3 linked regions of the Oryctolagus cuniculus genome follow. The protein of the gene in region 3 binds, or shares a complex with, the protein of the main gene of each other region. Links are inferred from orthologs where the notes say so. Each region holds a gene or a part of one and is shown on either strand. Other genes may lie near its edges.

Region 1 (7,600 bases), on a different chromosome or scaffold from region 3:
TTCACCATGTTTAACCAGAGTCACTGCTAATAAGTGGCACACCTGATGCAACTACTGACTGCAGATCCTCCCTGCCCTAGGAGTCACAGGAAGGAGAGGCTGGGCAAGCTGTTAAGCATCTAACATCTGTAACAGACACAGGAGCAAGTCAGAAGGAGTCAGCTCTCTCAACTCCAGGGAACCAAGACACCACCCACGCTGTACGGCAGGGAATGGACACATCAGCAGGAGGCCCAGAATAAAAACATTCTGCTCAACATATTTCCTGGTCTTGCTTAACTGCATGGCAGTTAAAACTACAGCAGAATTTCAAGTGTCTGAGGAGGAGCACTAAGAAAAATCTGACCTGTACTTAGAGGCAGGAGGTAATGCAAAAGTGTCTCACTTCAGCAGCACAGGCTGGGTGGGGGTTAAGGTGTCTCTGGCAAACCTCCAAAAGCTGCATCATCAACTCATTAGAGGCAGAGGCACCTCCAATCATGTACAGTCTTTCCCTCACTGCTTAGACGTCAGAACTGCACAGTATCAAAGTAATCAAAGTTCAAAGCTCAATTCATGTGTTCAGTGTGAAATTATTGAGCACCTCTAAGGACAGGAGAAATAAGCCTGACAAAGACTGTCACTTTGATAGCTGGAAGAATACGCGTCCATTCTTATTTACCGTATCGTGCCCAACTACTCAAAAGTCCCAGTAGGAAGTTCTTCTCCCAGTGCCCCACAAGTACCCAATAGGCCAACTTTCTCACTTCTTTGCCTCCGATGAAGGGGTGCCCACCTGGAACACTCCCATTATACTTCATTTACCCAAATCATCTTAAGTCCCACTCTTCCTGCAAGAGGTGATCTCCTCCCCATCCCAAAGTGTTCTCTGAACTACCAACAACTATGGTAAGTACCGCCATCAGTTGACTTGGAAATCTGCGGTCCTCCAGCTGACACTTGTATGATTTGATAAATCATCCGTATCTACTATAGGCCAGTATTGTAAGGGCTGGCAAAACAGCAGGAAACGGTACTGCTCTGCTTGTTTGTTCTTTCCTTAAGGAAACTCCCGGGAAGGGTTCTTGTCTTACACTGCCTTTCCAAATCTTCCTGTGAAGACCGTGGTTGGTACTCAGTGCTTAAAATACTTGACTCGGGCTTCTTTTTTTGGTCCAAGCTCACCCAAATCGAAGTAACATAAATTAATGGGGAACAGAAGCTAACGAAGCCATTTCTAAATGAACTTCCACTTCTTAAAAACCTCAAAAGAACAAGGAAGGAAAACAGGCTATGAAAGTGCTGCTGAACCAACATATTTTACTCAATGACAAAGCATCTCCAATCCCCCTTCCAAGCGACACAGAACTCATTTTCCCCTCTCGAACCTCACAGCTTCGGATTCAAGTGTCCAACAACAGACCCCAGAAAATTTTAAAGCGCCCCTCCATTTCCCAACCAAGTCTTCCTAAACTTTCACTTCTTGATGAACAGACCCCAGAAGAACCCTGCAAGGAGGCTCATTACAAGGAACCACAATTCGAGCCTCAAGCACGAGAGGGGCTCCAAGACGAACTCTCCGAACGTGACCGATCCAGAGACAATTCTGATATAAACAGAAGCCAGGTTCTGCACAGCCTGGCGGAAGGCTGCAGGCTCCTGCGGGAAGGGAATCCCCTCCAGCAGAGCCGCGGCATTCTGCAAGCCGTGGGAGCTTCTGCAGGAGGTGAGGGAGGTCCCATACACACACACAGATCATTTGCTCTCAAGTGGCTTTTGTGAAGCAACGACAGCTGGCATCCCACAGCGGGCGAGGGTGACGCCGGGCTGTGCCATGCGGCGGAGCGGCCACCTGGGCACTCCCACCATTCTTCGCACCCGGGTCAGGACCGAGAGACAAGGAGAGCGGAGCGCCGCGCCAACTCGGACCCGCGCCCCCTCCGGCTTCCTGTCCCGCCGGCCGCCTGCCCTCGCTCCCCGAGTACGCCGCGAGCCCACCCCGCCGGGTCTCGGGAGCCCGACCTCTCCAGGGACCTAAAAGACGTACGGGCGGGCGGGGGGGGGGTCTCCAGGCGGCTGCCGGGCCCCGGCGCGTACCCACCTGAGCAGACTGGAGAGAGGGTGGCTGGAAGAGCCGAGGCCGCCGCCGCCGCCGCCGCCGCCGCCACTGCCCCCAGAGGAGCCGCCGCCGCCACCCCCGAAGCCTGAGGAGAGCCGCTTCCCGGACAGCAGCTTCTCCACGGCCGGGAGGTGCCCGGTGCGGGCCGCCTCCAGCAGCTCCTGCTCCTTCCCCATCCCCAGGGCCGCCACCCCAGGACCCCCCACCCCGGGGCCACCGTGGAGCCGGCTCGGCTCCCAAACTTTCCGTCTCCGGGCAACGCACCCCCTAAACCGGCCGGGGACACCACCCCCCTCCCCCCCCGCCTTTTCCCCACGAGCGCGTCACTTCCGGGATCCGGCGTCACGCGTCACCGCGCCCCCATGCCCCGCCCCCTTGCCCACCTAGCTGGGCGGGGCTCCGCGTCCCTGTGCAGGTGGACCTTGGTGTGTCAGGACAGGACTTGGGGGTCAATGGGGCAGTGCCATGTGGGTACCCATTGAAGAAGTGGAAAGGGACAAAGGGGACCCACCTGTGTACGCCTCCAAAGTGCGCTTCTTTTCCAAAGGTTTTGGGAGCTCACGGGACAGGAAATACGGTAATTCGTCCCGGCGGTGTGGAAACAAAGAGAGAAATATGGTAATACGCACCTACATTTCCAAGTCCGTTCTTTAAGCATAAAGCAGTATGTAACAGGTGCGGGAGCCTGGTAATACAGAGGTGAATAAAACGCCCTGCCCCTCCCTCCGCGTGCCTCAATGAAAAAAGGCAGGACATTTTAAAAGCAGAAATATCCTAGCCCCTTCACCATCCCAATCCGTGAAATGGCTCATTAAAGTGAAGCGCTCAAAGGAGAGACCTCCCACCCTGTAGGGATTCCTCATGATGAGACTGAGTGGGTAACAGAAGTCAGGCTTGAGAAACCTATCCCGATTTTCAGCACTGGCGAACTGGAAAAATCATTTAATTCGGTAGAAAATGTTTTTTCCCTGTACTAGCGCTGCTCCGGACTCAGAAACAGGCAGTCAACACTCGTGGAGTGAATGAATGGGTTGGATAAACACTGCTCAAGCAATAGGACTTTTTTTTTTTAAGGTGCTCGTGAAATATTCGTAGAGGGGAAATGGTGGCAATTCAATGTAAAGTCAGGCCCGCAGTCTGTCCAGGTGAAATAAAGGAGGTTGAGTCCCTGCCTGAAAGTTTGCTACCCCAAGGTTACGCGACAGCCGCGTACAAAAGGAGCAGTTTTCTCCCAGGTCCTCCAACTTTGAGGAAGAGGTTAACTGACAAAGCATTCTTAGAACGACGGAAAGGAAAAAGAAACCCTTCAGGAAGCACAACTGCACTTCTTCACAGGTGCTGGTCTCCAAGGACGGATCCACAGGGGACTTTGCACCCTCAGCGTTCTCTCTCCAGCACCACCCACCCAGGATTCAAACGGAGCCCTCAGGTGCTCCGCGCGCCCCCCATGGCCCTTCCGAGGACCAGTAGTGGTGACGACATCGCGGTGCGACGACAGGAAGTAAGCGCCCACTGTGCCGCGCGAGGTCCGGAGCTCCGCGGCCGACAGCACCGCGATCTCCTCCCCTTGCCGTTCTAGCTGTGATGGACAATGCCCGCGAGTCTCCTGCGGACAAAGGTGGGGAAGCAGGGGAGTCAGACGAGACGACTGCTGCTCCTGGGGGCCCGGGGACTGCGGACACGGACGGGATCCCGGAGGAAGCGGACGGAGACGGAGACGCGGACTTGAAAGAAGCGGCAGCGGAGGAAGGCGAGGTAGGCAGAGAAGTGTGACTGAGGTTGGAGGCATACGCCGGGATTGTGTTACCCGGAGCTCGCCACGATTCCCTCTAGATCTGCCGTCCGGGGAGTGTGGGAGGAGCAACAAAACTGTGGTGCTGGTTTGGTTCCAGAGACTCGAGCATTAGGTTTTAATATGTTTAGTCCTTGCCTTTCGGGATTAAAGCTACATCTAAGTGAATTTTAAATAGCTTCTTGGTTTTCCTATTGATGAAGTCGGTACTGTCATCCCGAGACTTAGTGCAAGAGCCAAAATCCAGGATTCCCAGCGCGCCTTTCACCGCACTATAGGTCCTCTTAGTTAATTGTTGTTTAAGTACAGCTTTCGTCTTTACAGGAGGCAGAGTTGATCAGATCTGTTAACGGGAGACTTTGAAGTCATATTCTCATCCAGCTGCTGCAGTGTCCTCCGTGCTAATGTCCAGGGGTTTCTATAACGTAAAAACACCAAATCCATCAGCTGTGCTCTCAGGATAGCTCAGCAGGGTTGCCTAACCGCGCAACAATCGCGACCAGAATCTCAGCGTCCTGTGGGTTCCTTTTCTAAAGAGAGAATTTCTAGGATCTTAGAGGCAGAAGGAACTGAAGAGCTCATGGACTGAACGTTAGATGGATAGCCTTGTCACCAAAACATACACGGTAAGCTTTTAGAAAAAGAGAAGACAGTTGACAAAGCTGAAGAAGGAAAAGTTAAAATGGGTCTCAAGGACGCAAAGGAATTGAATAATTAGCATGGTCCACTAAAGGAGCTCACTACAATATAGAAGTTTGGAGCCAGCAGAGGATAGAATTATGATGCTTTTGAAACATTTTTAAAAATTAGGCCGGCGCCGCGGCTCACTAGGCTAATCCTCCGCCTTGCGGCGCCGGCACACCGGGTTCTAGTCCCAGTCAGGGCGCCAGATTCTGTCCCGGTTGCCCCTCTTCCAGGCCAGCCCTCTGCTGTGGCCAGGGAGTGCAGTGGAGGATGGCCCAAGTCCTTGGGCCCTGCACCCCATGGGAGACCAGGAGAAGCACCTGGCTCCTGCCATCGGATCAGCGCGGTGCGCCGGCTGCAGCGCGCCGGCCGCGGCGGCCATTGGAGGGTGAACCAACGGCAAAGGAAGACCTTTCTCTCTGTCTCTCTCTCTCTCACTGTCCACTCTGCCTGTAAAAAAAAAAAAAAAAAAAAAAAAAAAAAAAAATTAATCAAAGACCAGCATTGTGGCACAGCAGGTTAAGCTACCTGCAACCCCAGAATCCCATATGGGCACTGGTTCAGTTCTGGCTGCTCCGCTTCCAGTCTAGGCCCTTGCTGATGTGCCTGGGAAGGCAGCTGAAGGTGGCCCAAGTTGAGCACCTGCACCCATGTAGGACTTCTGGCTTCCACCTGGCCCAGCCCTGGTGGTTGTGACCAATTGGGGAGTGAACTAGCAGATGGAAGAACTCTGTCTCTCCCTCTCTCTGTAACTCTGCCTTTCGATAAAAATTGATTATGTTGGGGCCAGCACTGTGGATTAGCTTTAAATATGTAACATAATGCATGTAAGTATGTAAAATATTTATTAATATTCTTTAAGTCAGAATCACAAAGTTGGGGGTGGGGGGTGGGGAGTGAGCAAGCTTCCATCTGCCTGTTCATTCCCCCAAATGGTCACAGTGGCTAGAGCTGGGCCAGGCTGAAGCCAGGAGTCAGTAGCTTCTTCCAGGTCTCCCACATGGGTGCAGGGGCCCAAGGACTTGGGCCATCTTTGGGCCATCTTCTGCTGCTTTCCCAAGCACATTAGCAGGGAGCTGGATCAGAAGTAGAGCAGCCAGGACTTGAACTGGCACTCATATGAGATGCCAGTGCTGCAGACAGCAGCTTAACCCACTATGCCACAGCATTGGCCCCTACATATTTTTGATTTTCAAAGAATGTACTTATTAGAAAAAAAAAATGGCCTATCTGCTGATTCACACTCCAAATGCCCAAAACAGCTCAGACACTCTAATAGGGGACATGGACATCCCAACCAGCATCTCAGATTTTCACTCCAGGGCCTCCTTTTTAATAATCTTTCTAAATTGAATCGTCAATAGTAAAAATATCTTTGGATCCAGAGGAGAAGAGCTGGCTGGCTGGAGAGGGCTTTGGTGACATCCCCTGTAAGGAATGAGCAGGAGAGAGAGTCCATGGAGAGAGTGGTTTTCATGATCTTGGCCATTTCTTTATCCTTGTATACAGACACTGAAGCTGTGATCATAGCTAAACTGGAAAACTAGATTATTTAACTGGTTCTTTCTACAGCCTAACTAACCTTCCTTGAGGAGAGATACTGTATCTTATACTGGGTGGAACAGTCAGTTCTGGGACAAAAAAACTACACAATAAGTGGATCTGTTGTGTTATGAGGATGATGTCTTAACCTTAGCCAAGCCTGGAAAGTAGGACAAATATATAATAGAGTTCTTTTCATCTTCCCAGCTCAAAAGTCAGGACGTCTCCGATTTAACAGCAGGTGAAAGGGAAGACGCGTCATTACTTACTCCTGCAGCCAAAAAACTGAAAATCGATACCAAAGAAAAGAAAGAGAAGAAGCAGAAAGTGGATGAAGATGAGATTCAGAAGATGCAGTAAGTCTCTTTTTGTTCCTTCCCCTTTTCAGAGCTCCAGCCTGACCACACAAATTTAATAAATTTGTCTTGGCCTCTACATTTCTAACTCAAGAGGAAATAAACTAATTAATACATTGTTATAGTATAGAAAATGTGAATAAGTAAAAAGAAAACTCATCGCCCTGCCACCAAGAGGTATATACTGCCAATACTTTAATGTATATGATCCCAGGTGTTTTCTCTACACATATAACTTATAAAATTAATAAGTTTTTACAAGGTTTTTGTTTTGTTTTGCAAAATGTCAAATACTGGAGCCAGCATTGTGACACAGTGGCCTAAGCTGCTGCTTGCAACTCTGGCATCCCATTCTGCAGTGTCAGTTTGGGTCCTGGCTGCTCCACTCCCATCCAGCTCCTGCTAATGGAAGGCAGCAGATGCCCCGAGTACTTGGACTCGCTGCCACTCATGTGGGAGAGCAGGAAGGAGTTCTTGGTGCCTGGCTTCCACCTGGCCCAGACCTGGCTCTTGTGGCCATTTGGGGAGTGAACCAGTAAATGGAAGATCTCTCTGCCTTTCAAATAAATAAATAAATCTTTTTTAAAAATAAAAGTCCTATTTCATAACCTGCTTTTCCTATTATATATGGCATTTCTCATATCAACAGTTCTACCTCTAGGACATAATTTTTGTGAAAATGGAAATAGCTTTATTATATTTTCTGATTATAAAAGTGGTGTTAGCTCATTATAAATATAGAAAAAATTAATGCTATCGCAGCATTTACTCTAAGTATATATGTTTGGGTACAATAAATTGGGCATATACTTTTTCAGATTTTCAACAGTGGTTGGTGTATACAGCTAAATATTTTCCTATCAGCAGATACACCCATGAATCTTCATTTTTAATAGCTGCCATTTGTCCCATTATGTGGCTCAGCTGGAATGTAACCAATCCTGTAACTATGCGGGTTGAGTCTTTTCCTTTTACAACATTTTGAGGTGTCCTTGGACACATGTTTGCATATTTGTCCATTACTTCCTACAATAAACTCCTAGAAGTATAATTGCTGGTTCAAACAATATGAACATTTTCAAAGGCTTTTCTTTTTCTTTTTCTTTTTCTTTTACAGATAGACTGTCC
Region 2 (7,460 bases), on a different chromosome or scaffold from region 3:
CATTCTGAACTGCTGATGTTGCAGGAATTGATGCCTTCACAGCGGGTGACTGTGAAGCAGGCATCTGTACTGTGAACCTCTGTCCTGTGAGGGACATTGGAGTAGCTACTTTAGTAGAAACAGACATGGTCTGTGGAGTTGGGGTGCCTAGTGTGGGAGTACTTGGTCTGCTAGTAACTGACCCAACACTTAACCGCGGAACCGTTATTCTTCCTGCAGAAGTAGACGCCTTTTTCTGCAAAGACTTAAGCCTATAGTTCGGAGCGGTTAAACAGTACCTATCAGGTGGCAATCTAGGACCTGAATATGGTTTGATCAATGGCAAAGGGGTTTGATTTCTTTGCCTTGCAATATCTAATAAAAAATCTCTTGGGGGAGGAGAAGTAAAAGACTGGTCAGCACGACACTGGATTGCCAACCGCACATCGTCTGCATCAACAGTAGCTTTCTTAGCATGGCTCGAATAAATCTTTGCATCATCTAGAATTGTGGTCACATATCGGAATGCAAACTCCAACATCTGATTTATAACTCTTGGCTCATATTCTGTAATCCCCATATCCTTCAGGATTTGTGCCATCATCTGTGCATCTTTCGGCATGCTCTTGGGAGAAGCCATCTTGCCAGACTCCATGATATCCGGTGATCAAACTTTAGATCACTTGAAAAAAATATGTATATTAGATCAAACTGAAAAACTTCAGTAGCAACTTCTAGGAACTTAGTTTTTTAAAATATGCGTTATATCCTTTAAAAAATAAATTTAAATTTTAAAACATGTTAAATATTTTTAATTTCAACAAGACACACTTAAAAGTTTCCTTTACTTACACTTACTGAGTTCCTACCCTGTTAAAAATCATTCTAGAGTATAAAAAGATGAAGACAAAAATAAAGGACTAACTAAAAAACTAGGGGAAAATATGGTTAAATCTGTAAAAACATGCACCGCTTTGAAATAATCTAATACTATAGAACAATCATATTCTACTGCTTGAATTCAAAATTAATCTTTCTAATGTTGTCAATTTACTCACTGTCCTATATATGTGTGGCATCACCCAAACCTCTGTGTTTGTCCAACTCAAAACATTCTCCTTCTGCCTCATATTCAGATCCCAAGTCCCAATTTCTTCATGGAAGCCTTCCTAATTATTTCTACTCACAAGAATTGCTAGCCAATTTGGGGAGAAGGAGGTGGAAATAATCAAAATAAAAAGGACACAGTATTGGACACTTAGTATCTTCTTTTTCTGTAGGCTCCGGATAGAGCACAAATTCCATAATAGGAATCTGTCTCTGCTTTTGTACCCTCTCACAATACCTAACAGTACCAATAATTCCACTAGCCGACTGCAAGAAAAACAAAAACAAAAACAAAAACAAAAACCCAACACTAAAGCATCCCCTTACCTTCTCGAGCTAAATCACCCACATTAACGTATTTCAGTCCTGATCTTGATGCAAGTTCTTTGCCTAGTGTGGTTTTCCCAACCCCTGGAGTACCTGTAAGACAAATCACAGAAAAATGCCTATGAAATACTATTATAGACTTCAACTACTTCCACCCTTTGTAAGGTTCTTAACAACTTTCCTAGTAGGAAAGCAACCAGATGTGAATATACAAAAATAGTAGTAAGCAACCAGATGTGAATATACAAAACCAACTAAACAAAATCTCCCAGGGCAGGTGTCTGTAGAGGTTAGGATGCCCACCTCCCATGTTTGAGTTTAGACTAAGTTCGGTATTTGGCTCTGACTCCTGACTTCAGCTTCCTGCCAATGCAGATCCCAGGAGGCAGAGGACTGCTCAAGTATCCAGGTAGCAGGACTGAGCTGACTTCCTGGTTTCTGGCAGCACAGGCATTTGGGGAGTCCATCAGTGGATGAGAACATGCATGAGTGCTCTCCCGAATTAAAAAAATTTTTCTGCAAAAAAGCTCTGGATGTCAGAATCACGCAATGTTTCTCCATGGGTGGGAATACAAATTCTGACTGCTGCCACCAACGTCAGACTGCCCACAATAAAATCAGCCACCTCAAATCAATTACTGTCATTTATTTGCTTTTATTTTAAAAGATTAAGAAATTGTTCATTGGCCGGCACCGCAGCTCACTAGGTTAATCCTCCGCCTGCGGCACAGGCACTCCGGGGTCTAGTCCCGGTGGGGGCGCCGGATTCTGTCCCAGTTGCTCCTCTTCCAGTCCAGCTCTCTTCTGTGGCCTGGGAGTGCAGTGGAGGATGGCCCAAGTGCTTGGGCCCTGCACCCCATGGGAGACCAGGAGAAGCACCTGGCTCCTGGCTTCGGATCGGCGCAGCGCGCCAGCCGTAACAACCATTTGGGGGGTGAACCAACAGAAGGAAGACCTTTCTCTCTGTTTCTCTCTCTCACTGTCTAACTCTGCCTGTCCAAAAAGAAAAAAAAAAAAAAAAAAAAAAAATTGCTCATGGAACAAACCTTAGTCTGGGAACCACTGTAACTAGTCTTTTGCATACCTTTCCGAAGAAGTCCTATGCATGTGTGTCTATACACAGAAGTAGGTGTAGGTAGCATATCCTATGTGCAAAAACACATGCCACTTGTATTGCCTTTTACATAAATGGTAATACTATGCATTGTTCTATACCTTTCCCCTTTTACGTCTAAAAGAATTATATTCCAAGATAATCAAACGCATAATTTTCAGCTTCTCAATGTTTAATGACACTTTAATGATTACATCTGAGCATTATTAACATGTATAAATCCAATCTCCACATGCAGGACATTTAACCCCTGTCTACTATATTATACCAAGTCTGAACCCTGGACTCAACTTTCATTAAAATATTCACACCAGATTTTTTTTTTACAGCATTAATCAGGACACTAATCCATGCAAATCAGATGCTGCAAAATCTTCATCATAATGAATCTCACAGGCTAAAAACTCACTAGCTGAGGGGCTACTGCGCAGCACCTAGGAACAATCTTTGTGGGCTGCCAAAAATGTCAAGTTTCGTTAAATGTTGAAGGGAAAAAACCTTTTCAGGGTTCAGGGCTGTGGAGTAGGGGCAAAGCCGCTGCCTTCCACTCCAGCACCCTGTACGAGTGCCCGTGGTGTCTGGCTGCTCCACTTCAGTCCGGCTCCCTGCTCAGGGCCGGGGGAAAGCAGTGGCAGACGGCTCAACTGCTTGGGCCCCTGCCACCCGTGCAGGAGACCCGGGTGAAGCTCCTGGCTTTGCCTGGCTCAGCCCCCGCCACTGCGATCCTGCCGGGAGTGAACCAGCGCAGCAGATGCGAGATCTGCGTCTCCTCCCTCCCTCTCCCTGTAACTTTCAAACAAACAAATCTTCAAAAAAAAAAAAAAAAAACACAACTCTTCACAATCTCTTAATACTTCGATACGCTCCATAGATTCCCCCACGAACGGCGCAGGACGCTCTCAACGGACACGTCTCAGGCCTAGAGGCCCAGCGTTCTAGCCGCTTCGCTGGCCACAGCGGGTCAGTGTCCGAGACCCGCAGGGGCTCACGAGCAGCCGGGGGCTCCACAGCGTGCGCTCCCATCACAAAGGGAGGCAGGCGCCTGGACACTACCCCAGCACACGGCCGCAGTGACTGCACGCGCTCCGCCACGCCGCCAGCACCCGCGCCCACCCGCGAAGGCCCACGACGCGAGGCCTCCGCCATGGCCGACACGCTTCCGCACGTTACCTCCGGGAAACCCCAAAGCAACCCGACCAGAGACGCCAAAGCTGGCTTTCCGAGCAGAACACCAGGGTCTCTATTATAAAGATAACGGAGCCTGCCCACACCGGAGCGCCGGGTCCCGGCCGGCTTCCCCGCGCCCCGCGGCCGCCCCCGCCCCGCGCCGCGTCCGCAGGCCCCGGCCACCGTCGCGCCCCGCGGCCCCCGCCCGGCCGCCCGCTGCAGCCCGGCGCTCCCCGCCCGGCGCCCGGAGCCCCCCGCGCGTCCCGTCCCCGCCGCGCGCCCTGACCGGTGAGCAGAATGTTCGGCAGCCGCATAGTCGTCCCGGCGGACGCCCCGAGCGCCTCCTCTGCGCGCGCCCTACGCACCGCGAGGAGGAGCCGGAAGGGGCGGGCAGCGCCAGCGCCGGCGGCCGCGGGGTCCTCGAGGCCGTGCCGGGCGCCCGCTCCCGGCCCAGCTCCGCAGTCCCAGCCGCCGCCAGCGGTTCCCTGGGCTTCTGTGACACGCTTCCGTGGCGTGAATGGAGGCCGGGAGCCAGCTCGCTGCGCGCTCTGAGTCAGGCAGTGCGCTGGATGCCTATGTCGCTCGCGCGCCTGGGGCCCCCGCCCTTCGCGCCGCGTCGCCGAGGCGCCGACGGGTGTGGAAGGACCCCGGGAGGCGGGACCCCCGAGAGGCTCGGTGCCGAGCCCGGGGAGGGTCGGGTGGCCACCCCAACACCGGAGCCGGCCCCGCGCTCCTTGGCTCCTCTCCGCCCACGAGGGAGGGGAATGCGGCTCCCGGAAAGTAAGGCCGTCGCGGTTGTGGCGGTGTTTTCTGTGTGTGTCCTGGACGCGCGAGCCCATCTCTGCCTCCATGCCCTCCCGTCCCGCCTGGGACGAGAGAGACGGGGTTGCGGTGCCCCGGCCTGGAGCGGGGACCGACGAGCTCAGCCTGGCTGCCGGCTGGTTGCAGGATGGCGCTGAACGAATGTCTGAGCTCAGGACCGGCTGTGCAGCGCGTGGGGTGGTGGTGGGTGGGCTCGGGATGGTCCTGAACGTGTCTTCTGCCTCTGACATCTAATTTCAGGAAACGGGCATCGTCGCTGACAGTTACCTGCTTTTCCAAGGAGGTAATTGTCGGTCTCGCTTTCACTGAGCGGCTGCAGTGCTGACTGTCGGCTACATTGAATCGATTTTTTTTTTTTTTTTTTTTTTTTTTTTGCTACTGTGCATTGCTGATAGCGGTCTACTCTCAGAGGTGAATGACTGCCAGTGTGTGGAAGTGTGCCTCCTCAGATAGTCCAGTACACCTTCCCAGGGTACAGTTTGTTGGCCTTGAAAATCGTTCCTCCTGGCGGCCCTAAAATGGTTGAATTCACTGCTTTCCATCAGTATTGACGAATCACGCAAATCGGAAAACAGTGATGCCAAGACGTTTTCTGATGGCGTGCTCAAAGGAAGTTCTAGAAAAACTGACAGTGAGATTCAACTGTTTTATTCAAAGTAACTGATATGTCTGAATTCATTGTATCTTGCCTTTTTTTGAAACTTTAGAAATGAAGATGTAATAGCTTGCAACGGATTGGAGTAAAGGAATAGTTTAATTTTTGGTGTTAAAAACTTCTCAGAATTGCCTGATTTTTCTTTTTGAGAGAAGGTCAGCACCCAAATATGTTGCTGTGTTTTCTCATAAAAAACATCAGATAGATTCCTCTAACTTGTTGTAACGTTCTGATTTTTCTCCTGTTTACCATGCTTGCTTTCACTAGTTCTTGAGCCTTGATGTTGTTATGTTGTTGGTTATATCGACTTAACTGTGCTTACAGTTCTTGACTTGAAGTGAGTTTTTCCTATTTCCTCTAGGTGATTTATACTTTGTTGTGCTACAGATTGTGTACTACGCATGGGAACTATTAAGATTTATGATGTCAAACACTTTTCTTAGACCAAAGGTGTCTTCCACAAAGGTATGTCACACTAAAATGGCCATGTGATAGTTACCTAAATGAATTAGGTGTTTTTACACATGCTCTTAATGACTGACTGCTATCAGAATAATGGTGCCCATTTTTTTTTGAAATTAGTGATCTAAACAAGTCTGTTAATAAGTTCTGGAACAACTGAACCTAAAAGCACAATTTTAATTTTGAAAAAGTGTTTGCAAGCCCAGTCACAAAGAAAAGGCTAAAAACTCTCGAATGAAAGAGCATAGAAAGGCCGGCGCCGCGGCTCACTAGGCTAATCCTCTGCTGTGGCGCCGGCACACCGGGTTCTAGTCCCGGTCGGGGCGCCGGATTCTGTCCCGGTTGCTCCTCTTCCAGGCCAGCTCTCTGCTGTGGCCAGGGAGTGCAGTGGAGGATGGCCCAAGTGCTTGGGCCCTGCACCCCATGGGAGACCAGGAAAAGCACCTGGCTCCTGGCTCCTGCCATCGGATCAGCGCGGTGCGCCGGCCGCGGCGGCCATTGGAGGGTGAACCAACGGCAAAAGGAAGACCTTTCTCTCTCTCTCACTGTCCACTCTGCCTGTCTCAAAAAAAAAAAAAAAAAGAAGAAGAAGAAGAAAGAGACACACGAATGGTGGTTGGTGATTCAGCTTAACCCCAGGCTGTACTTCGTTGCCCAGTGCGTGTCAGTTCTCAGAAAGATAGGGTGTGGGAGGGCATGGGGTCAGACAGTATCAATGTACCTGCATGGTAGCTGTTTTTCCTTGGTAGTATCTCTCATTTTCACTGATCTTAAGTAAATTATCAATTTCGCTGATTCTTTTTTCCAGTAGATTGGAATTCACATTTATGTAAAAAATACAACTATAAAGTGGGTAAGTAATGGGCAAATCAGAGTTGCTACCAATGGGTCTACTAAGACATTCTCTTTGAGTACTCTTGAATACGGGAGAGGTGCCACGATTATAATACCAACGACCTTTTAATCAGAGGAAAATGAATCAGGTAGCCTTGACTGTGAAACTCTCCCAGTGACCCACTGCTGATGATATTCCATCCCTCTGTCTGAAGAGTGAAGTGTGACTTAGCATTTGTAAAATACTTAAAATAAACTACTTAAAAATCCCAAATTGCCTCCTCAGAGCCTACTTTGACCCTGACTTCTGGCTCTTTTTTTCCCAGAGAGGAGCATTGTCTAAAAAAATAGCTACCAACTGTGCCAAGTGTTTTTGAAGGAAAACATAATCTTTCTTTTCTGATTTAGAAAGGCAGAACTTCCGTCTGCTGATTTACAACCCAAAACGTGCAGCACTGGTGGTGGGGGTGGGGTGGGAGGGACAGTTGCAGCCTGGAGTGGAAACTAAATACTGGTCTCCCAGGTGGTGACAGAAACCAGCTACTTGAGCTGTCCTTGCTGACTCCCGGCATCCTCTTAGGAAGCCAGATCTCGAGCTGGTGCTTGGACTTGAACCAGGCTTTCTGATAAGGGATGTGGGCATCTTAACCACTAGGCTAAATGCCTGCCGCAGAAAATGCAATCTCGATTCTGCTTGTTAGCCAGGCAGGAAATCCAAAGTCAGTGTTAGTGTAGAGAAAATTCCTTTTAACACTTAATAACTAGAAAAACCTTTTTAGTAGTTAGATTAGAACTGCTTATTTCAATGTATTTCTATATATACTTACAAAGGATTTTGCAGAAAAAGAAATTATGCAAGGAAATGATGTAGAGAGGTCACTTCTGCAAACCAGAATAACTCTGATTTTTCTGCCCTGTTGTCCCAGTACTTTTATCTAAGCATTTCTGAATGGCAAATTTCATTTTCCCTGGAAAACCTGCCTCACATATTAA
Region 3 (7,524 bases):
TTAACTGAACTCTTCTAGGATCACGTCAAAATTATAAAATTAAATTCCACTGTAAAATTAAAAATAATCTAAATTCTGTAAGGACTGGATATGCATGTGCTCACACGCCCACAGAAGAGCCTGGAAGGACACACAATCAACAGTTAACAGTTCAAGGGCTTAGAAGCTGCAATACAGCTAGTAGTATGGTTGAAGCAGGAGACTTACTTCTAACTTCAAACACTTCTGCAGTCTTTGAATTTTCCTATAAGCATGGGTTACTTCTGTGATGTATGAAAAAGAAAAAAGTAAATAAAGTAATACTCATTCTTCTTACTGAACAGAGATATGCATTTCAACTCTTCTATTCCTCTTAACGTTATCACCCTCTCTGTCTAAAAACACTGATCATCTTGAATTCGTCCACAGGCTTTGCAATCTCAACCCAAGACCTTCTGGACCCCCTTCCCTCTTTTTACTACGGTTTCAGTATATTTTTCTCTCTTTATTCCTACTACCACTCACTATTCAATACAGTGTCAAGTTCTGTCCACTGGAATCTCTCTTGAACCCCAGTGCCAGCAATATTTTCTTGAAATACCACTGTCATCACACTATTTATTTTTCTACTTAGGAACATACACTGTTTCCTACCACATGTTTCCATTCTCCATCTATATTTTTAAGTCCCTCCAGAACCTGATTTCACTCTGCTGAACACCTTTCAAATAAACTAGCTACATATGTCAAGCTGGTCGCCTTATTGGCATTTTCTTCATCCTTAATCTTATTTGGTCACCACAGTTTATGCTATCCTCAAACCCGGAATTATTCTCTACCTTCATACAACCACACTTCACAGCTTAACTCAAGCATCATCTTTGCTGTAAAGCAATCTACCATGGAATCCACAGCTCATAACCATCTCTCCTTTATCTATCCCTTCTGCATTTACTCCCTATACCGTGCAATAATTATGTTACAGCACTAGTCTTAAAGAATCGTTCTGAGAGATTCAGCACTTGCTTTCAGCAATGCACACATATTTTTCACATAATACAACTCATACAGAAACATCTGCCCCTAAATGCTTAGAGGATTTTCATCTAAGGGAAATTTTAAAATTCCTTATTTGTTGAATTAATAGTAACTCCCAATACATGCTTTATCTTGAGAAAAAAATAATTTTTAAGGAATAAAAGCCATTGGTTGTTTTTTGCTGATACTTTGATACTCTTAATTTTGTTCAGTAATTCTAAATCTGTAACACCTAGTACAGGTCTTAGTGCATAAGTGGTGCTCAAAAGACAAAAAAGATAGCATACTGGTAACATGAGGTTACAGAATCTGATTTTAAAGTCAGAATGGTATAGAGAAAAAAAATCTAAAGATGTCTAATAAGTATACCAAAATTAGCATGGGAGACCAGCAGGAGGCACCCGGCTCCTGGCTTCGGACCGGCACAGCGCCAGCCGTGGCGACCGTTGCGGGAGTGAACCAACAGAAAGAAGACCTTTCTCTCTGTCGCTCTCTCACTGTCTATAACTCTCTCTCTGTCTCTCTCTCTCACTGTCTAACTCTGCCTGAAAAACAAAACAAACAAAAAAACAGCAAACCACAACGGGAATAATGGCCCTGAAAACTGCATTCTCACTGAAACCAAGAAAATTAACTATAGAAATCAGGTAATTAGAAACAAAGTTCACATTAAAGCATTACAATTATCCCTTGATGACTTTGGAATACCCAGTACCATGGAATGCCAGCATATATTCTGGTTCTGTGTATAAGGCTGAAAAGGTAACTATGTATTCAAGGGCTATTTTAAGTACCTAGCCATATTCTTAGGGAACTAGTAGCAAAAACATAACCTGGACTGGGCATAAAAGTAGCAGTATATGCAGGGATGATGTCTGGGGACCAGGGATAAGAAGCAAAAGCCAGGAGTATTCTGTTGGTGGTACACTGTCAAGATCATAACGAATGCCGTTACTTTGCAGTTCCAAATTTAGAAGTATTAGTGAAATCAGGCATTCAAAAAAATAGACATTTTGGGGACTCAAAAAGTGAAGACAATAAAGAACTACTATGGTAGCAGATTATCAGCTCATTTATTCAACAACTGTTTCCTGGGTGCCTATTATATTGTGGCCCCAGACAAGTTTACAGAATACAAATATAACCCATTTGTGTCCAGGAGAGCCTGAAGAGACAGAAGCAGTTTACAAAACAAGGTGATAAACAGCATAACAGAAATATGCACAGAATTATGAGAGCAGATAACCTGAGTTCCCTAGAGCAATGGTAAGTGAATCTCAGGATGTAAGCAGAACTACTGGAAGAGAAGGGGCCCAAGGACACTCCAGGAAGCAGCATGCATACAGGAAAGGATGGCTTAAAATGTTCTGGCAGGTAGCTCAGCAGATTAGTAAGGCAGGGTGGCAGCAGATAAGAAAGATGGTAGCTCACAGAGGCAACTGTGTGCTGTTAATAGGTGTTTTTTTTTTGGGGGGGGGGGTTTGCCTGTAAACAATGAATACAACTGAAATATTTTTAAGAATGACAGGAGAACTGCATTATGGACAGATTATTTTGGCAGCATGATGGAGCTGGGAATAGAATTTGGGTCCTAAGAAGTCTAGTGTATGTGTGGGTCTGTGTTTCAGTCTATGAACCTCTTTGCAAAACCGAATATCCTACGAAATACTTCATCCAGTTCTCCAGTCTGAAAAATCAACCTGAAATCTAAATGAGTGGTAGCCCCCCCCTCCCTGACACACACACAAGATGATGCGTGCCTTCTATTTAAACATTCCAAATTATTAAACAGCACCAGCAATAGATACAACCAGACACTCACTCAGAAACCAAAACCTCAGACCACCTGCAAGAATCTTGTCAACTGCCTCTGATCCCTCCACCACACTTGAGAAAACTATGCAAGAGGAAGTCAGTGCTTAAGTGAGATGGAAGCGAAAGTTAATCGAAATTGACAGTCGGCCTCGGGGAAAATCTAAGTGGAGATGCTGTCTCTGAAACGAAGATACGGGAAAAAAAAAAAAAGAGGCAATGTCCCTAACGGAGCAGAGCTGTCAACGAGTCTGTAGTTAGGAGCTCGAGAATGGCCAGTCTTGTAAGAAACGGCCGGTAGACGGAGCGCCTGTGACAACTAGTTGTAGTAGTTTGCGGCAAGGGAGGAAAAGGACCTGGGCAGAAGAGGGTGTAGGGCATTCTGGGGATGGGTGTACCCGCAGCAAACACGAGACAATGAGAAATACCGAGGCACCTTTCAGAGAGGGGAGAGGTAAGAGGGTGCGGGAGCCGGGAGCGGAGACTGGGCTCCGGGCTGGTGGCGGGAAGTTAGCGGATGGGAAAGAGGCACCAGGGGATGACTAGAGTTTCCAGCGGCAGTGGAACCCCAGGGCTGTTGGAAGCCTAGACGATAGCTGATCTCGGGGCGGGGTGCAGAACGCAAAGCCCGGGGATGCGGAGAGAGGAACGGGGAGACTGAGGTGTCACTCGTGACTTACCGGGGCAGCCCTCCCTCACCCAGCCCGGTACTCACAGAGCTCAGAGTACCGATGGCAGCCCCGGCCCAGCTGCTGCAGATAGCGCTGCAGCACGTCCGTGAGGAGGTGGCAGGCGCTGAGCTGCACCGAGTCCCAGCCCAGCGCCTGGCAGATCTGCGCCACCGAGACCCTCAACAACGACCTGGAGTAACTCTCGCACATCCCGGTGTGTGGACGCCACCGCAGCCCTTGCTGCCACTTCTCTCCAGCCCCGCCGCCTGACCTTAGCAGAGTTCTCGATTCATCCTTTAGGGCCCCCGCGGCGGGGAAAGCGTCCCCCAGACCCCGGGCAACCACCTCAAAACCCCAGCAGCAAGGAGCGCGCCAGCCTGAGAGCCGCCATTTTGGACTCGCTCCGCCTCCCGCTGGACGGCCGCCGGGGAGAGGCAGCATGAGTCAAATACCGATAGCGCCGATGAGAAAGCTCCGCCCTGTAGGGGGAGCAAAGCGAGGGTCTCGATATCGATTCTCGGGTCTGAATGTCGACCGGAAACTGGCGATGCGAGGCGCAGGTGGGAGATGTATTCTGGGGCGGCAGGTGGCAGGGTTCCTGGGTTGGGGGGCTTTCACCTGGGGGAGAAGGAAGAGGAAGTCGTTAGCGTTTTAGGGGTAGAAGGGTTAACATTAGTACAGAGTTATAAGTTTGGGGAAGAGGAACTTGCTGCTCAAAACGCGGATCTGATCCTGTCTTGCCTGTGCTTTTTGGCATGCTAGCTGCCGTATACGTTAAATGAAGTCCAAGCTGTTCTGCATGTCATTCAAAGCCCCTAATACTAGGGCTGCCAAATTACTGGGGGCTCCAAAGAACTCACTAGCCGGGATCAATTAATATTGTCATACGGTTTTTTTTTTTTTTTAAATCGAAATCCACGCCCACAGTTCTCATTTCATACTAACTCCAGCCCTGCTTCCAATCATGCTTAAAAAAAAAAAAAAGCCAGGTGGGCTGTTCATGGTGGGGGTGGGGAGCGGTGGGGTGGACATTGCCAGCGACAGTGACCTGTCCAGGGAATGGGGTATTCAGTTGCCTACAGAGGCCTTAAGTAAGCGACACGAGTGGAGTACCCTGAGAACCGTTGTCTGCTCCAAAGCCTTCTGCCACTTTCAGGCAAACATTGTTGGATCTTTTCAAGATGCCAGAGATTAGGGTGTTCTGAAATGTATCTTGATTTTTAAATATTGGAAACACAATTTAAAAGTATTTGTTTGGAAGCAAAACTCATCCCTCTGTTAAGCTGCGCACAGCACATGGGTAGCCAGGTTGGAATGGCTGACCTACTCAGTTTGTTAGGCATGCACTGTGTGTTTACCACATCCGTTTATGAGGCAAGCGCAATAAACTGAGTTTCTGAGTAGCTTTGTATTCCTTCTATAGGGACTATTCCAAAACCTTGAACATAGTGCTCAGTTTTTAAAAAAAATTTTTGAAAACCCAATTGATGTGAAAATATGATGCATCAGCAAAATGACAATCTGCAGAGAAGGAGCAAGACGCTAGGTGAAAGATGTCTATGGTGTTTACCAACGCTTTTGTCTCCAAGACTATCAGGAACCTTTTTGATACTTACATCAATGGGAACTTGTCAATTTTAGCCTTACCTGACCGTTTTGTTGCACGTTCATAATATTCAGCAGTTCCTTAATTTATGAACTCTCTGGAACCTTGGATTTCACAAATAGTTTCCACACCCATTCTGGGTGTTCCTTTTCTTCATTCACCTGTGCCTAGGGATGTGGGGATTGGGTGGGGGAAACTGGCAATGCGAGGCGCAGGTGAGAGATGTATTCTGGGGCAGAACATTTTGGAACATTTCAAATCTACAAAAAAGTTGAAACAGAAAAGTTTAAATACAGGTATACACTTTCATCTTCATTGACCCATTGTTAACTTTTTGCCATATTTATTATGTCTTTGGCTGTATGGATACACACACACTTTTTTTCTTTCAGAAGTTTGAAACTAAGTTGCAAACTTCATGACACTTAACCTGCAATACTTTGTGTGTGTGTGTGTGTGTGTGTGTGTGTTCCCAATAGGAGAACATTCCTCATAACCATATGTATGACTATATGTTACAGGTTTGGTAACCAGGGAAGCCAACTGTAAGATGGAGATGAGTTTGCAGAAGTTTTATCTAGAAGTTCTTCTGAGATACCTTCTGTGGAAGGGAGGGTACAGAGGCAGGACTGCAAGGTGCTGTCAGGGTAAACCTCAGCCAGTCCCATAGAGAGTGCTGAGGGGGGGATACCCTTCAGAGTTACCTTAACTTGGGACTTGGAGGCTGGTCCTTGTATTCCTATGTTGACAGGTCACTGTGGCATGACTTCAGTCCTGGGGGAGGGGGCTCTGAGCAGTGCATGACAACTCTCAGGCGCTCCACCCATTGTTCCCTTGAATCAATTTCTTGGTGTCAGTTCAAGAAGTAGCTCCTCCATGCTTCAGGAGGGGCCTCTTCTGTGTCAAAAGAGGAAGATCAAGAGACTAATTACAGGGCCGGCGCCGTGGCTCAATAGGCTAATCCTCCACCTTGCGGCGCCGGCACACCGGGTTCTAGTCCCGGTTGGGGCGCCGGATTCTGTCCCGGTTGCCCCTCTTCCAGGCCAGCTCTCTGCTATGGCCAGGGAGTGCAGTGGAGGATGGCCCAGGTGCTTGGGCCCTGCACCCCATGGGAGACCAGGAAAAGCACCTGGCTCCTGGCTCCTGCCAGGATCAGCGCGGTGCGCCGGCTGCAGCGGCGGCCATTGGAGGGTGAACCAACGGCAAAAGGAAGACCTTTCTCTCTCTGTCTCTCTCTCTCACTGTCCACTCTGCCTGTCAAAAAAAAAAAAAAAAAAAAGACTAATTACAACCCCTACTTCTGCAGCCTGGCCTCAGTTGGTACTCCTCGTCTTCCTCCTTGACTGCCCATTGGATGTTTCTCTCACCCGTCTTCTGGTGGAGTGACCCAGACCCTCCTACGCAGTGGTTCTGAGCCCCTAATTTCCATGTCCTTTTCAGACTGTGGCCGCTGAACTAGCCTATGGACCATTAAAATCGGGCATGAGGGTACCAGAACAGAGCACCTAGGTGCTGGGCAGTCCTTGATTCCTCACTGTAATGGTAGCCTGACATTCTCCTGTTAATCAGGGTTCACTGCTCCTGCCTGTGAGGGAACTCCCCACTTTGCTGCTGTCTCCTGGCCAAAATGTCCAAGGATGGCTGATACTTTAGCAGGACCCCAGGATGTGTTCCTGATGAAAGAAGTCCCCCCTTTTAGAAATTGGACCTACATCTGAAGAACCCAGTTTTAGGTACGGAAAGAGCAATTCCACACCCCCTCCTCGGGGGTGGGGGGTCACTGAAAGTAATAGTAAGTGGAGGAACTGGCCTCTACCCCGTATCATCTGCCTGTTGGGAACCCAGCCTCATGGAAAGGTCGTTGACTTAAAAGGCGCACAGCATTGTGGGGGATTGCAGCCCTGGATACCATGCACCAGTGCTTCACATGCTATTCATTGCCTGTGAGCTGGTGCTTTAGCTGTGCCCACAATAAGGTCTTTCTGTTGCTCTGCCAGGCTGACACCTTCTGTGTGGTATGGCATGTTTTAGGACTAGTGGATTTCATGGCATTGTGCCTGCTTCCCCACCTGCTCTGTAGTAAAATAGGTTCCTTATACTGATGCAGTATGATATGGGACATCAGTGGATCCAACATCGTAAGCAGGAAAGACAAATCCATATCTAGAATATGTGTCCATTTCTTATCAATACAAATAGCTTTCTAGGATCACTTGCGAGCAACCTGTTCTTGGAGAGTCCTACAGAGTTTGCCTAGGATACCATAACAAAATACTTAGTCAGAATTTATTTTCATGCCATTGTAGAAGATGTCCAAGATCAAGGTGATAACAGTTTGGTTTCTCCAAAGGCCTCTCTGATTCATTTGCATCTGACTACCTTCTTCACATGTGTGCATAACCCCTGGTGTGTCTCTCT

What was found. The genes of interacting proteins can lie anywhere in the genome.
Region 1: TAF3 (region 3) and TAF11 share a complex: the UniProt entries of both Homo sapiens proteins name them as parts of the TFIID basal transcription factor complex. The link is inferred for Oryctolagus cuniculus from reciprocal best matches to the Homo sapiens genes TAF3 and TAF11.
Region 2: TAF3 (region 3) and TAF9 share a complex: the UniProt entries of both Homo sapiens proteins name them as parts of the TFIID basal transcription factor complex. The link is inferred for Oryctolagus cuniculus from reciprocal best matches to the Homo sapiens genes TAF3 and TAF9.

The regions. Positions count from the first base shown.
Region 1 is NC_091436.1:134,547,410-134,555,009, forward strand, and holds the start of TAF11 (transcription initiation factor TFIID subunit 11), read left to right. Parts: upstream 1-3,573; 5' UTR 3,574-3,682; coding exon 3,683-3,853; intron 3,854-6,323; coding exon 6,324-6,472; intron 6,473-7,600. Other genes in the region: ANKS1A (ankyrin repeat and SAM domain-containing protein 1A), read right to left, coding at 2,081-2,274. UniProt on the Homo sapiens protein: The TFIID basal transcription factor complex plays a major role in the initiation of RNA polymerase II (Pol II)-dependent transcription.
Region 2 is NC_091445.1:90,325,717-90,333,176, forward strand, and holds the start of TAF9 (transcription initiation factor TFIID subunit 9), read right to left. Parts: upstream 4,028-7,460; 5' UTR 3,981-4,027; exon of another isoform or gene 3,908-3,980; intron 3,690-3,907; exon of another isoform or gene 3,674-3,689; coding exon of another isoform or gene 3,382-3,673; intron 1,507-3,381; coding exon of another isoform or gene 1,414-1,506; intron 662-1,413; 5' UTR 635-661; coding exon 1-634. Other genes in the region: AK6 (adenylate kinase isoenzyme 6), read right to left, coding at 1,414-1,506, 3,382-3,673; cell cycle checkpoint protein RAD17, read left to right, coding at 4,264-4,474, 5,533-5,636. UniProt on the Homo sapiens protein: The TFIID basal transcription factor complex plays a major role in the initiation of RNA polymerase II (Pol II)-dependent transcription.
Region 3 is NC_091444.1:75,463,874-75,471,397, forward strand, and holds the start of TAF3 (transcription initiation factor TFIID subunit 3), read right to left. Parts: upstream 3,942-7,524; coding exon 3,545-3,941; intron 3,284-3,544; exon of another isoform or gene 3,145-3,283; intron 264-3,144; exon of another isoform or gene 208-263; intron 1-207. UniProt on the Homo sapiens protein: The TFIID basal transcription factor complex plays a major role in the initiation of RNA polymerase II (Pol II)-dependent transcription.